Linked DNA regions of Coturnix japonica. The protein of the gene in region 3 interacts with the protein of the main gene of each other region in a pairwise test. Links are inferred from orthologs where the notes say so. Each region holds a gene or a part of one and is shown on either strand. Other genes may lie near its edges.

Evidence for each region.
Region 1: the proteins of ZBED1 (region 3) and LRRC20 interact in binary tests that used the Homo sapiens proteins (3 or more experiments, as listed by UniProt). The two-hybrid records come from large-scale screens. The link is inferred for Coturnix japonica from reciprocal best matches to the Homo sapiens genes ZBED1 and LRRC20.
Region 2: the proteins of ZBED1 (region 3) and EFHC1 interact in binary tests that used the Homo sapiens proteins (3 or more experiments, as listed by UniProt). The two-hybrid records come from large-scale screens. The link is inferred for Coturnix japonica from reciprocal best matches to the Homo sapiens genes ZBED1 and EFHC1.

Annotation. Positions count from the first base shown.
Region 1 is NC_029521.1:9,515,032-9,519,123, reverse strand, and holds LRRC20 (leucine-rich repeat-containing protein 20), read right to left. Parts: upstream 2,909-4,092; 5' UTR 2,680-2,908; coding exon 2,598-2,679; intron 2,450-2,597; coding exon 2,300-2,449; intron 1,909-2,299; coding exon 1,741-1,908; intron 349-1,740; coding exon 197-348; 3' UTR 80-196; downstream 1-79. Other genes in the region: EIF4EBP2 (eukaryotic translation initiation factor 4E-binding protein 2), read left to right, coding at 3,022-3,160, 3,373-3,546, 3,618-3,649.
Region 2 is NC_029518.1:98,059,073-98,062,714, forward strand, and holds the end of EFHC1 (EF-hand domain-containing protein 1), read right to left. Parts: intron 3,635-3,642; coding exon 3,487-3,634; intron 2,674-3,486; coding exon 2,457-2,673; intron 955-2,456; coding exon 883-954; 3' UTR 329-882; downstream 1-328. UniProt on the Homo sapiens protein: Microtubule inner protein (MIP) part of the dynein-decorated doublet microtubules (DMTs) in cilia axoneme, which is required for motile cilia beating.
Region 3 is NC_029516.1:115,859,913-115,864,151, forward strand, and holds the start of ZBED1 (zinc finger BED domain-containing protein 1), read left to right. Parts: upstream 1-1,428; 5' UTR 1,429-1,896; intron 1,897-1,946; exon of another isoform or gene 1,947-2,028; intron 2,029-4,239.

The DNA.
Region 1 (4,092 bases), on a different chromosome or scaffold from region 3:
ACCCATCGCGGGGACTCTGTGGGGACTCAAGCTCCTTCCAGCCTAATGCTGGCAACAAATAATCCATCAATGCAGGGAACACAGTGCACATAACACATTTAATCAGGTATTGGGGCACATCGTGCCAGCAGCTGGAAGCCATGGGGAGCTCCAGGGCCAGTGTGCGCTCCTGCAGGTGCCGGGCAGCAGGGACAGGTCAGGCTGTGGGGACATTGCCCTCAGGTGACAGCAGCAGCTCGAAGGGGACCAGGGGCCGGACGAGCAGGCGTACAGCAGGGCACACAGGGTTGGCACGTAGGTTGAGGCTCCGCAGCGAGGACATGGAGGCCAGAGCCTCTGTTGGCACCTCTGCAAGGGGGAGCAAAGGGAACAGGATTTGGGGAGGGATGGTTTTATTTTAAACAAGCAAACAAACAAAACAAAAATAGAACAGGTTAAATGCAGCTGCAAAGCTCAGTGCTGCTCATGGCAGCTTGCATAGGCAGCAAGGAACAGCAGCAGCGCCCATGCTTACAGCCGCCTGCACCCTGCTGCCAGCTTCTCCCCCTCCTTGTCCTGCTTTCCCAAGCAGAACGGGTGGAAAAGAGAAAACAGGCATTAAAACACAGCAAGAAAGAAAGCAAGAAGCCACTTTCATAATTTAACCAGCAGTGATTTTCCTCTGTTTAGAATGTAATAATAATGGTTAAAAAAAATCCAGCTAGCTGGGATGGAAGGCTGCTGGGGAAGCAGCAGGCATCGGAGGAAACCAATGGTGTTCCAACCAGGGAGTGTGCAGCTGTGTGGTGCCATCAGCCTTAAGCATGAAAGATAATGCTGTGATATCACTGCAAGGAGCAGGGAAAGGGTTAAGAGCCCTGACGTTAATATATGCATCACTACTCTGCAGGTTAAGAGCTCCTTGAGATGAAAGGGATGGCTGGCAGCACTGAAGGGCTTCTTCCGGAGCCCAGGGCTGCAGGCAGGCACTAATCGATGTGCTCATCCTCCCATTTCCCTAGAGAACATCACCCGCTGTGGCTCAGCATCCCCCAGAAGACTGAGATCCCTGAAGCAGATATCTTGAACCTGGCTTGGCCCTGAGAGCAGCTTTGTCTCCAGTGCAGCAGAAGGGAACGGGCAGAACCAGGAACCACGTGTGGTTGGGATGGCAGCATCAAAACCTGGTGCTGCAAATCAACCCCCATCCACCTTCTGTAGACTGCCATGCTTTTATCCAGAGCAGGGTCCTCAGTTTGTTATGGAACTGAGTGGCGAAACCTGGGTCCTGAGTCATAAAAGGCAGACAAACCAGCCCACCTTCATCCCCACACCACTCAGACATGGTATGCTGGCTGGAAGTGAGCAGGCTGCTAGATAACAGCATGAGGGTGAGCTTTCAGATGCTTCTGCATCATCTCCAAAGACACAGAGATGATGCTGGTCTTCTACCAGCCACAGCGGCAAGCAAAGGGTTCAAAGCCTGCATGGCCATCAATGTGTGCTGGCTAAGCTCATGCTAATGGGTTCTCCTCAACTCTCCTTTGCTGCTGTGCACAGGGAAGAAGAGGTAAATGTAAATAAAAGCTCATAAATCATACAGAAAGCTCAGCCTTTGAGGCTCTAGAGTAACCCAGTGGACTCCATTGTGGTCCCAGACCATACAGCCATGAGCCATGAAGTGGAGGAGCCTGGAGGGGTGGTGAGAAGGGATACGGTCACAAGCACCAGTTTTCCTCCCCAGCCCCCTCCCCCCCTCACCTGCAATCTCATTCCCTTCCAGGTTGATGCTCTCCAGTGCAGGGGCAGCCGCCAGGGGCTCAGGGAAGTGCCGGAACTTGTTGTGGGCCAGGTTGATGGTGCGCAGGTGCAGCAGAGAGCCCAGCTCCTGGGGCAGGCGGTGCAGGAGGTTGCCCTCCAGGTTGAGTTCTGGAAGAGGAACAAAGCTGACCCTCCATTCTGTGCAGCAAAGCTCCCAGTGGAGGACTCCTCCAGGGAGCCAGGGCTGCTGCGAGGATCTGTATGTGACATGGATGTGCTCTAGGCTGGTGTTGTGCTGACTAGCTGTCTCCTCTCTAGACAAAAGATGCTGAGCTATTGGAGAGTGTCACTAAATCACAGAATGGTTTGGCTTGGAAGGGACCTTAAAGATCATTGCGCTCCAGCTCCCATGTCGTGAGCCGGCAGCCCCCCACCAACTGTGATCCAGAGCCGTGGGATGTGGCATTGAAGCACACGGGCGGTAGGATGGTGGGAATGGGCCGGGTGAGCAGAGGGCTTTTCCAACCTCAGTGTTCCTGTGACATCAGGCCGGCCTTACCTCGCAGCTGGCTGAAGGTGGTGGCGAAGCGTGCGCCGAGAGCCTTCAGCTCGTTGTTAGCCAGCGAGATGCGGTGGATGCCCTGCGTGACGCTGCGCACCGCCTTGTAGATGCCGGCGGGGAAAGACACGAGCTTGCAGTCGGCCAGGTCTGCGGGGACAGCCGGCTGAGCGGCGGGGGCAGCTGCACGGCCCCAGGCTGCCAAACACGCGGCCCTCCTGCACGGACGGGCCCCGCCGCACCCCGACGTGGTGCGGGGACGGAGCAGCTCGGCACCCCGCCGGGGCCGCGTCCTTACCCAGCGTGTCGCTTTGGCTCTCCACCGTCTCGTTCACCCTCCTGGCCACGCGGGCCACCGCCTCGCCCATCCTTCTCTGCATGGGGGCGGCCGGGGGGGGACGCTGCGGGCGCGGCGGAGGCGGCGTTCCCCGCTGCTAAAAATAAAGCGCTGGGACATGTGCTCCAACGGGGCGGCCGGGGGTGGGGGCTGGGGGCGCGCTCTGCGGGCTCGGCGGGAGCGGGGCTTCGCGTAGGGCGGCCGGGTGGGCTCGGGCTCTCCGGACACCTCCCGTCCGAGATCGAACCGCGCGGACCGAGCCACGCGGCGGGAGCCGAACCCGGTTCCCCGTTCCGGAGCCGGGCGCCCTCCTCCCCTGCGGACCACGTGTGGCGGCGGGCGGGGATGTGGCGGCCCCGCCCCGCGGGGACAATAGCGCGGGGCCATGGCGTCGGCGGGCGGCCGCCAGCACAGCCAGAGCCGCGCCATCCCCGCCCGCCCCGCGCCGCACGGCGACGCCGCTTCGCTGCCGCCCGGCTGCTGCAGCACGCCCGGCGGCACGCTGTTCTCCACCACGCCGGGAGGTAAGAGCGTGTGAAGCCCTACGCCCCGAGCTGCGGCGCTCCCCGCGGCTGGGCCCCGCAGGAAGGCCAGGCCGTGCCGCACGGAGCGGGTGAGGCTGCGGGCGGGGGGTCGGGGTCTGCGGGTGTCCGTAAGGGCGGCACCCCGCGGGATAAGAAGAGCGCCCGGGTGACACGGACGCGTCCCCCCGCCCCGGCCCTCCCTCCCTCCGCAGGCACCCGCATCATCTACGACCGCAAGTTCCTGCTGGAGCGCCGTAACTCGCCCATGGCGCAGACCCCGCCGTGCCAACTGCCCGACATCCCCGGTGTTACCAGCCCCGGGGCCGGCGACGAGCCCAAGGTGGAGCCCAGCAGCCCCAGCAATCAAGACGGCAAGCCAGCGGCCGGTAAGCGGGCGGCCCCTCCCGGGTCCCCGAGCCGTGCGATGCACACGTGCTCCTCTCGGTGTCTCTTGCAGGGGACGACGCGCAGTTCGAGATGGACATCTGACCGGGCACCCGCCGCTCTCCTTCGCCATTGCCCCGTTTATTGGTCCGTCGTTTCGTCTTGTTTGTTTTTTTTTCCCCCTCCCGTTTCGTTTGTGTCTTTCACCGCATCACCCCGCTCCATCCCCTTCCCTTAACTGGTCTTAAGGAGCAGCGCCTGGAAATGGAGGTGCTGCCCACAGGGCTCCCGTCCCGGGCCTTCCCTGGGAAGTTTCAGCAGCCACAGCACTGGGAAGGCACCGGCACCTCCGTGCACTGCAAACTCTTGGGTCCAGGTTCGACCCCTCTGGCACCTGAGCTCCCAATTTCTATGGGGCCACACGTGGCACCGAGCCCTCAGTTTTCCACTTTTTGGTACTAAAAAGAGGGACAACCACAATGTGGGGAGAAAAAAGGGTCGAGCGGCAGCGTCTCTTCCCTCAAACCCCAATCTGTGCCATGGGGTTT
Region 2 (3,642 bases), on a different chromosome or scaffold from region 3:
TTTCTCTTCATGGAGAGATGAGAAATCAGAGCAGAAATGTCACAGCCCTATTGCTATGCCAACGGTTAGTTTTTCCTTTTCATTAGACCTATCCTGTAAGATGACAGGTTGCATGAGATGGGTTTAGATGCAATCTCAGTTCTAAAACCTTTCTCCCAACCCTTTGTTAAAATAATGCAAAGCTGCTGTCAGCACAGCTGTGTGCAGACCCTACAATTTCCATGAGATATGTGAGAGCTAAGCTACTATTCAAGTAAAGCCAGAGTCAGAGTTGGCTTTGTGGTGGTGGTGGTGGTGTGTTTTTTTTCCTTACTTTAACCCTTAGCAATTCCTGGCATTGAGGTACATTTATTTAAAGCATACTTTTTAACACTTTTATAGAAGCCATGCATCAGTTGCTTATAGTCAGACTAGCTAGCATGCATTTATTGTGGTTTCTGACAGAACTCTTAGGTTTTCTTGCAATGCAAATGAAAATTTAAACTGGCAGTCTTCTCACTGCAGGCCCCTTTCAACTCTGTATGAAATTGAGATGCTTATCACTCCAGGCTTTAGCTCTAGCAAGCCTTGCCGTACTGCACTAAAAAGTTGAGAGATCAATAGAAGAACCTGGCTGTGGTTCTCCAAACCATTTTTTGCTTTCCTTGTGGGTTTCATTTCAGTATTCAGCAGTTATGAGATTGATTTTGGTGGCAGCAAAAACAGCAGGGGCAGGTTGGGAAGGTAAAAAGTTATCCAAGCAAGGGTGCAATTAGGAAGGAAGAGAGAGAGGAAAAGACTCAAAGGTAAAAACCAGAGCATCCTTTTTAAAGTGTGAGGTCTTACAGTCAGCTCAGCTAAGGAAATCATTGCTGGTCTTGTGCTTCAGCTTCTAGGCGAGGATCACAAGGGCAAGGCTCTAAGGAAGTCACGGTAGTTTATCTGGTCACCTCCATAGGTGCACAGGTCAATCAGCTGGGGGGAAAAAAGAAGCAACGTCAGAAAGAGTTGAAGGAACCTGCAAACATGTTTTTATAGGGAAACGTGCCCACAGGTATTCTCTACGTGACAGAGCAGAGGAGCAGACTGGCTCCATAGTACTGAATCACAGGTAACTTTGAATGCCTATAGATGACACCAACCTATGCAAGGACAAGAGTTAAAGTGTTAGGGTTAGGGTCTGCCCTCTAAGTGTCACCACAGTGACAACAGAGCCACAAAAAACTGGTGGCCAAAGACTGGCAAAGGCCACAGCACATCTTTCAGAAACCTCACACAAGTCCCTGACCAAAGCAGGATGGAGGCCCCGCATCTCAACAGGCACTGTTTGGTGGCGTCTCTTCGGTATGTGCAAATGGCATCAAGTGGAGACACAGATAATTGAGCTCAGTGACAGCCCTGCTAATGAACCAGTTCTGGTATCCATGCCTCACCCTGCATTGCGTTACAGAGCTATAGCCTTCGTATGCTTAAGGGGAAGAAAGAAGGCTTTTGTTTCCTTAATTGCATAACTAATCTCCTTCTGACACCCAGGGAGATGGAAAAGGTCTAATATCAGAGCTCCTTGAAAGGATTCTTCTTCCCCTTGTCGCCTGGAGACAGATTTACTTGGTTTGCTCGTGAGTGACTGACAGCTGTGCTCCTCTCCAGGCCACACAGTAGTTAACCATCTGCTGTATGTTTCATTTACAGTGCTGTCATGCTCGTATGGGCTCTGAGCACGTTCTTATTAAGATTTCAAGAGAGATGCGTTTAGTGCTAAGGTCATAGATGGAGGCTCTGCTTCAATTGGGTTAACCTGATGGCCATAGAGGGCCTGAAATATGGCAGCAGAGGAAGCTATGTTGCCTTGTGAGCTACAGACTTGCTGAACACAAATGCTATAACCTGCAGAAAGGTGGATCGTAGGCTGACTTCCCACAGCATGATCAGACTGCCAGATAAACGTGGAACGAGTTTGTAATGGTTATGATTACTTTTTTCTTTGTAAAACACTTAGTTCTCAACTCTTCAATTCAGCTGCTGTTAAATTCACAGTGTGTCTAGGCTTTCATAAGGACGATCCTCTAAGCATCTCAGTGTCATCTCTACTCATGCCCAGGTGTGCCTAAGACACAACAGACACTCAGTAGCTCCACAGGAGCCTATGCCTCATCTCCATGATTTACAACCCCCTCTTCTGCTCATCTCTAAGTCCTGACCAAGCAGCCACTTAGAATTTTATAATATGCTGGGGTCAACACGCATTACATAAAGGACAGGAATTGTTACTTCCTCCTTTAAGAGAAAGGTTCGGTCCAACAGCACAGAAGCCTTTCTGAACTGGGATTCTTTCACCCTTTTCGTGGAGCTGTTCCCCTTTGTAGGACAGAATAGCTGTTGATTGAGCTTGGTTTGGGTTAGTTTGTAAAAGAGATCTTTCAGAACACCTATGGGGGGAGTGAATTTTAATATGCACAGCACCCCTTCCTTCTGACCTTGTTAACCAGAGCGGCACTGGTTGGCACCTTGAGGCTGTCACAAATGGATAAAAATTTGGCTTTGTTGAGGAAACCAGACTGATCCTTATCACAACGAAGTAATGCCTCCCGAATGCTGCTGAAGTTCAAGTAGTTATGGAGCTTCAGCTCGTCCTGAACCCGTTCAATTAGTTCATCCAGTTCCTGTATGCTGGTTCCTGGAGCAGGAACATTACTGTAGAAGGGAAGAGAAAATAGAATTTAATGTAGAAGTTACTTCTTACAGTCCTACTGTGATGCTTGTGTGGCTGTCTGGGCTGTATTTCTGAATACACAGCAGGCTTCTGGGGTGTTTGTTTTTTATGGCAAGCTCATCTCAGATTGAACTTGCAGGTGGAGCTAAGTCCTGATATTGGACATTAGGGAAATTGCTTTCTGTCTGCATGACATTTGCCTTGTGCACCAAATACTTTGGGCCAATGAGGGTTTGCTTGTGTGTTTCATATGGTCCCAGGAACTGCATGCAGCTCAAGTTTCAACCAGAGCCTCTGAATTTCCACAAGCTGACTCTAAAGGGCATCCTGTGGTTACAGGGCTGTTACTGGGTGGCCTAAAACGGGTCCAGACAGACAGCTAAAACGGGGGATGATGTCCAGGCTCTGGCAGGCTGAGAGCCAGAGCAAATGTGAAAACAAACCCACCATCCTTTCTCTGAGTCTGCAACCAAATGAAGACTCATGAAGATACTGTTAGCAGCACCTATCACAGTTTACTGCTCCCTTTTGGGAAAAGATGACTGCATTCATTCACCTCTAGTTGTCTCTGCCACTGAGCCAGAGCTGGCCCACAAGGTTTTGGGGTCAGCGATACCCATGACATCGTACACTCTTGATCCCCTGCTATACCTGTTCAGACACATCTTTGGAGCTGAATAATCAGCTGAGCAGCCACTAGACAGCAAACTGGAGCCCATGAGAGCTGCTGGAAATGCCCTTAGTTGTCAGCCCTGAGTCTCACTTAGCTCCATATGCCATCCTTGGAAGCCTACCTTTTGGCAGTCTCCTCCACCACCTGCCGTGAGCGAAAATGATCCCTCATGGACTGTAGTGTTGATGCAGGAAAACTCTCTGCGTTACTTTCCATATAATTGAGCACATGTTCATCAGCATCAGTGATAATAAACCTGTGGCCGAACACTGTGGGA
Region 3 (4,239 bases):
AGTCCTTTGCAGTGGTGGGGTTATGCCAATGAGCACAGCTGCTGTCTGGGGTCTGGGCACTGTGCTGTGAGCTCCTTGCACCCTGCTAGCACAGCAGCTCCAGCCGCGATCGAGTTATTGCAACAGACTGAAAATGCTCAGCAAAAAACTTGCAGTTTAAGGAGAAAAAACCAAAAGGGAAGGGAAGGAAATGTGGCCATACGCACACTGGAGATGAGGAACCATGGAAAGCTGGGGCCGAGGCTCTGGAGCTGAGTGCTGCTGGGGAGCTGAGTAATAGGCTCTGCAGTATTTGCTCTTGGGACATCATCCCGCATCGTTTGGACATCTTACTGTCTGTGGCATCTCCTTATTGAATGTGTTTTGTGTTTCCTTAGAAGTGCCCCCGCTGAAATTGCTGTGTTCAGTTTTTTCCTCTGGTAGCTTCACATCTTCAAGACCTACACAGTGCTGCCATAACTCCTTCCTCTCAAACTTCACTGTCCTTCGCTTACCCTGTCTCTACGAGTGGAAATTTTGGTTTTTCCTTCTCCATCTTGGCAAAGCTGATCTTGCTTTTCTCAAAAAGACAACACTTTCGGGTCTCTTTCAGCCCTATCCTAAACAGTTCCATGATGTTCCTCAAAACAATCTCTGTAGCAACACAACCTCACCCACAACTGGGCCGTACCCGGCCCCTTTCTGAACGGCGACCCTGTGGGGAGACCCTACGCCACAGCCGGGTGGCAGAGGCACCCGCGGCACTGCAGGGACCGGGCTGGGAGGCACCGAGGCCTCTGTGAGGAGCGGTCTGAGGGTGACGATGCTCCGTCTCCCCGCCACCTGCCTGCACCATTTGTGTGGCGGGCACTGGAGGCCGCGGAGCGGCGCCGAGGTTCACGGCGGTGCTGCGTGACCTACCCCGACCCGCACCTATAGAAGCGAGCAGTGCGGGTTCATCGGAGATTTGGGGGATGTCCTTCCCCCTCGGGGACCGTGGGGCGGCGGGGCGGTCCCGCTCTTCGCACCTCCCGCAAGGACAACCGCAGCGAGCGGCGGGGGCGGCGGGCGGGGAGGAGGCGGAGGAGGGGGCGGCTGCGGCGAGGGGAGGGGAAACCTCCGCGCCCGCCGCGTCCCACTCGCCGCCCGCCGCCCGCGCCGCAGCTCAGCCGTGCCCGCAGCTCCCGGCCCCGCTCGGCTCCCCCCGGGCCGGGGCAGGCGGCGGAGCCCCCGCCGCGTCCCGCCCGCAACTTTCGCCCCCGCCGATGGCTCTGGGCGGGGGCCCTGAGGGCTGCCCGCCGCCCCGCGCCCGTCCCTCATGGGGCCCTAACTTCGCCCCCGTCGCCGCCGCCGCCCCGGGGCGGGCCTGAAGCCGCGGCGGGGCCGCGGGCCCATGGCCGGCCGCGCGCCGCCCCGTCCCGCCCGCCGCGGAGCCGCCCGAGCGCCGGCGCGGGGGCGCTGAGGGAGGCGGCCCCCCGCTCGCCCCTGCCCGGGTCGCCGGCGGCGGCGGGGCCGCGGGATCCGTCCGCGCTCGCTGCCCCCGCGCAGCGCCCGAGCGCTCTCTCCTCCTCCCGCTCCCGCTCTTCCTCCTCCTCCTCGTCCTCGTCTTCGGCGGCGGCGGCGGCGGCCCGCGGGTGACATGCAGTCCCTCATCTCTCCGGTGACCAAGGCTATCCTGGTGGCTCTGTTCATCTTCGCCATCCTGCTGATCCTCTACGTGATCCTCTGGTACATCTGCCGCGATGTGGATTGCGACCACGGGATCTGAGCGGCGGCGCGGGGCCAGCGCTTAGAGGAGCGGCCGGAATCACCCCCGCGGGGCCGGGAGGGAGAGGAGAAGGGAGAGGAGGCGACCGCCGAGAGCGGCTGCACCGCCGCACCGCCCCGCGCCTGACCTTCAGAGACCAGGGTGACCCGGTGAGTGCCCGCCGCCCGGCAGCGCGATCACAGCGGATCGGGACCCGTCCCGGCGGCGCGGGGTCGCGTTGCGGTGCCGGACGTGTCGAGCGGAGCGGGGCGGGCGGTGCGGCCCCGCATTGGTATGCAAAGGTGAGCGCGGGGCGGGGAAGGCGGCGCGGGGACGGTGCGGGGCAACGCGGGGACGGAGGGGAAGGAAGGGGATGTCGGTGAGCGGCGGCCGCCTGGGGGAGGCGGGCGGAGAGGACGAGTTCCACCTGCCTTCCCCGCGGCACGTGTGCGGGGAGCTCCGCCGGGCTGTGCGGGGAGCCCGGCGCTGTGCTGGCCGTGCGGTGCCCGGGGACTGCGGGAGCGGGGCTGGGTGGGTGAGCGCCTACGTGCCGCTGAGCTGGGACGGCCCGGAGCCGCCGCCGCCCGGCTGTGCGCCCACCTGAAGGCGTTTGCGGCTCGCTGTTTTCCCGCTGTTACCGTCAGGCTGCGTTTGCCGCGGTGTGCTGAGGCAGAGAGACATGACCGCTTTGCGCTTAAAGCGAACCTGCTGATGGCAGGATGGTCCTGAGCGCTCGGTGCCGATGCTCCCGCCCTTGGAAAGCGGCTGTCGGGAGCGCAGAGAACTCCGTCCGCACGCACAACCCTGCGGGGATGCGTTCCGGTTCCATTGATGTGTGTGCGCAGCAGGAACGGGAGCAAATCGCGGTTGGTTTCGAAGGGGAGACCTAGGGAAGTGTGAGGTGCGACAGCGCGCTTTGAGATGGTTTGACATTGAGCGGCTGTAGCTGAGCGCTCCGCTCCGCAACGGGGGCTGTGCCGGGCTGGGAGCTGCTGGGAAGCGGGGCTGCCATCCCGCTGGGCTTCTGCTCAGTCCGTCTGGGACCCGGCATTGCTGCCGTGTGACTGTGGCAGCGGTGACAGCGTCATTCCCTCACCCTGCACCTCCAGCAGCAGTGCCGTTGTGTGCAGCTCCCTGTGTGCCCCAAAATGCCAGAGCAGCAGGTGATGGAGGGAAGGGAGCGGGCAGCAGAATGGGCATCGCTTCCCTTTTCTGTATGCATTAGACTATGTGAAAATAGAGCAGCCCAGCCGTCCTCTATTTTGCTGTTTTTGCAGCCTCGCCAATGAGTAAACTTGTTTGCACCTGAGTTGCAAAAAGCTCTTCACACCCCGACACGCCAGGTGGTGTCACATGCTGCCATCCCCAGCAGCAGAGCGCTCTGTGAGCACGTCCCTGGCCAGGGGAGCACAGCAGCATCATGACAAGGGGCTTCACCCATCACTGTCAATTATTGGAAAGCAGCTTTGGAGATGCTGCCTACAGAACTGGGTGGGACGTGGCAAGTGAAAGCGGTGTTCAAGAAACTTTGAATCTCGATAGATATATGTGTGTGTGATGAAATGTTGTTGGTGCTGATACAACCAAACCGATTTTATAGTCCATGTCGTAACTAACACTAAACAGCTCAATGTCTGCAGAGATGTGAAATGGTCCCTCGGTTATTATCCAACCCTTGGTGTTTCCAGCTGGCTCATTATTATTTTAAGCATAGTCTCTAGGAGATGCGATGTAGAAAATAATTCCTTTAACAGCTTTTGTTCTAAGTAAGGCAAACATATATGTGCTGATATATAAACATGTGTACATTGTTTTATGTAAACACTGAAGGGTATTTTTTTTTCCAGCTTAGCACAACAGAAAAATGAGCAAAGCAATAGTGAGCGGTGGTGCATTTGTTTTGTAGTTGAAGTCACAGATTCACCAGCTGCGGGTGGGTGTTGTGTACGTGCACTGTTATGTATTAACATAACATAACATAACCCTGTAAATGCAAAACCCCCCTTCCCAGTGCTGTGACACTTGGCGTAATGGGGTGAGATCCAGGTCTTGTTGGGCTCGGTTGTAGAAGACTGAAGTTGGTTTCAGTGGAGCCAGAAAAGCACTGATGGATTTGCACGTGTGGTTGAAGCTGCAGGAAGCAGCTGAAGTTGACAGAACTGTTAAAGCAGTAATCAAAGGTGGGTCAGCTACAACGGGGCACCTAAAAATGCTATTTTGGTACTTATTTCCTTGCTCAAAAGTTGCTGTGAGTGGTACCTCCTCTTCAAGGCAAGGACAGCTTGTTATCACTGTCCTACCTGGGCCGTGAGAAATCATTACGTTGCAAAGATCAGCAATGCAGCGGGCTGAGCGAGTGTTACTGTTCCCTAAGCAGCGTAAAAGGCCGTGCAGACGCTGCATGAAGGATGTTTAAAAGCTTTGCCTCTTTGCGTGAAAAATGCTGTGACTGAGTTACCACTGCTTCATTCTCAGAAGCGCGGCGAATGTTACATGTAAATCCTTACAGTGAG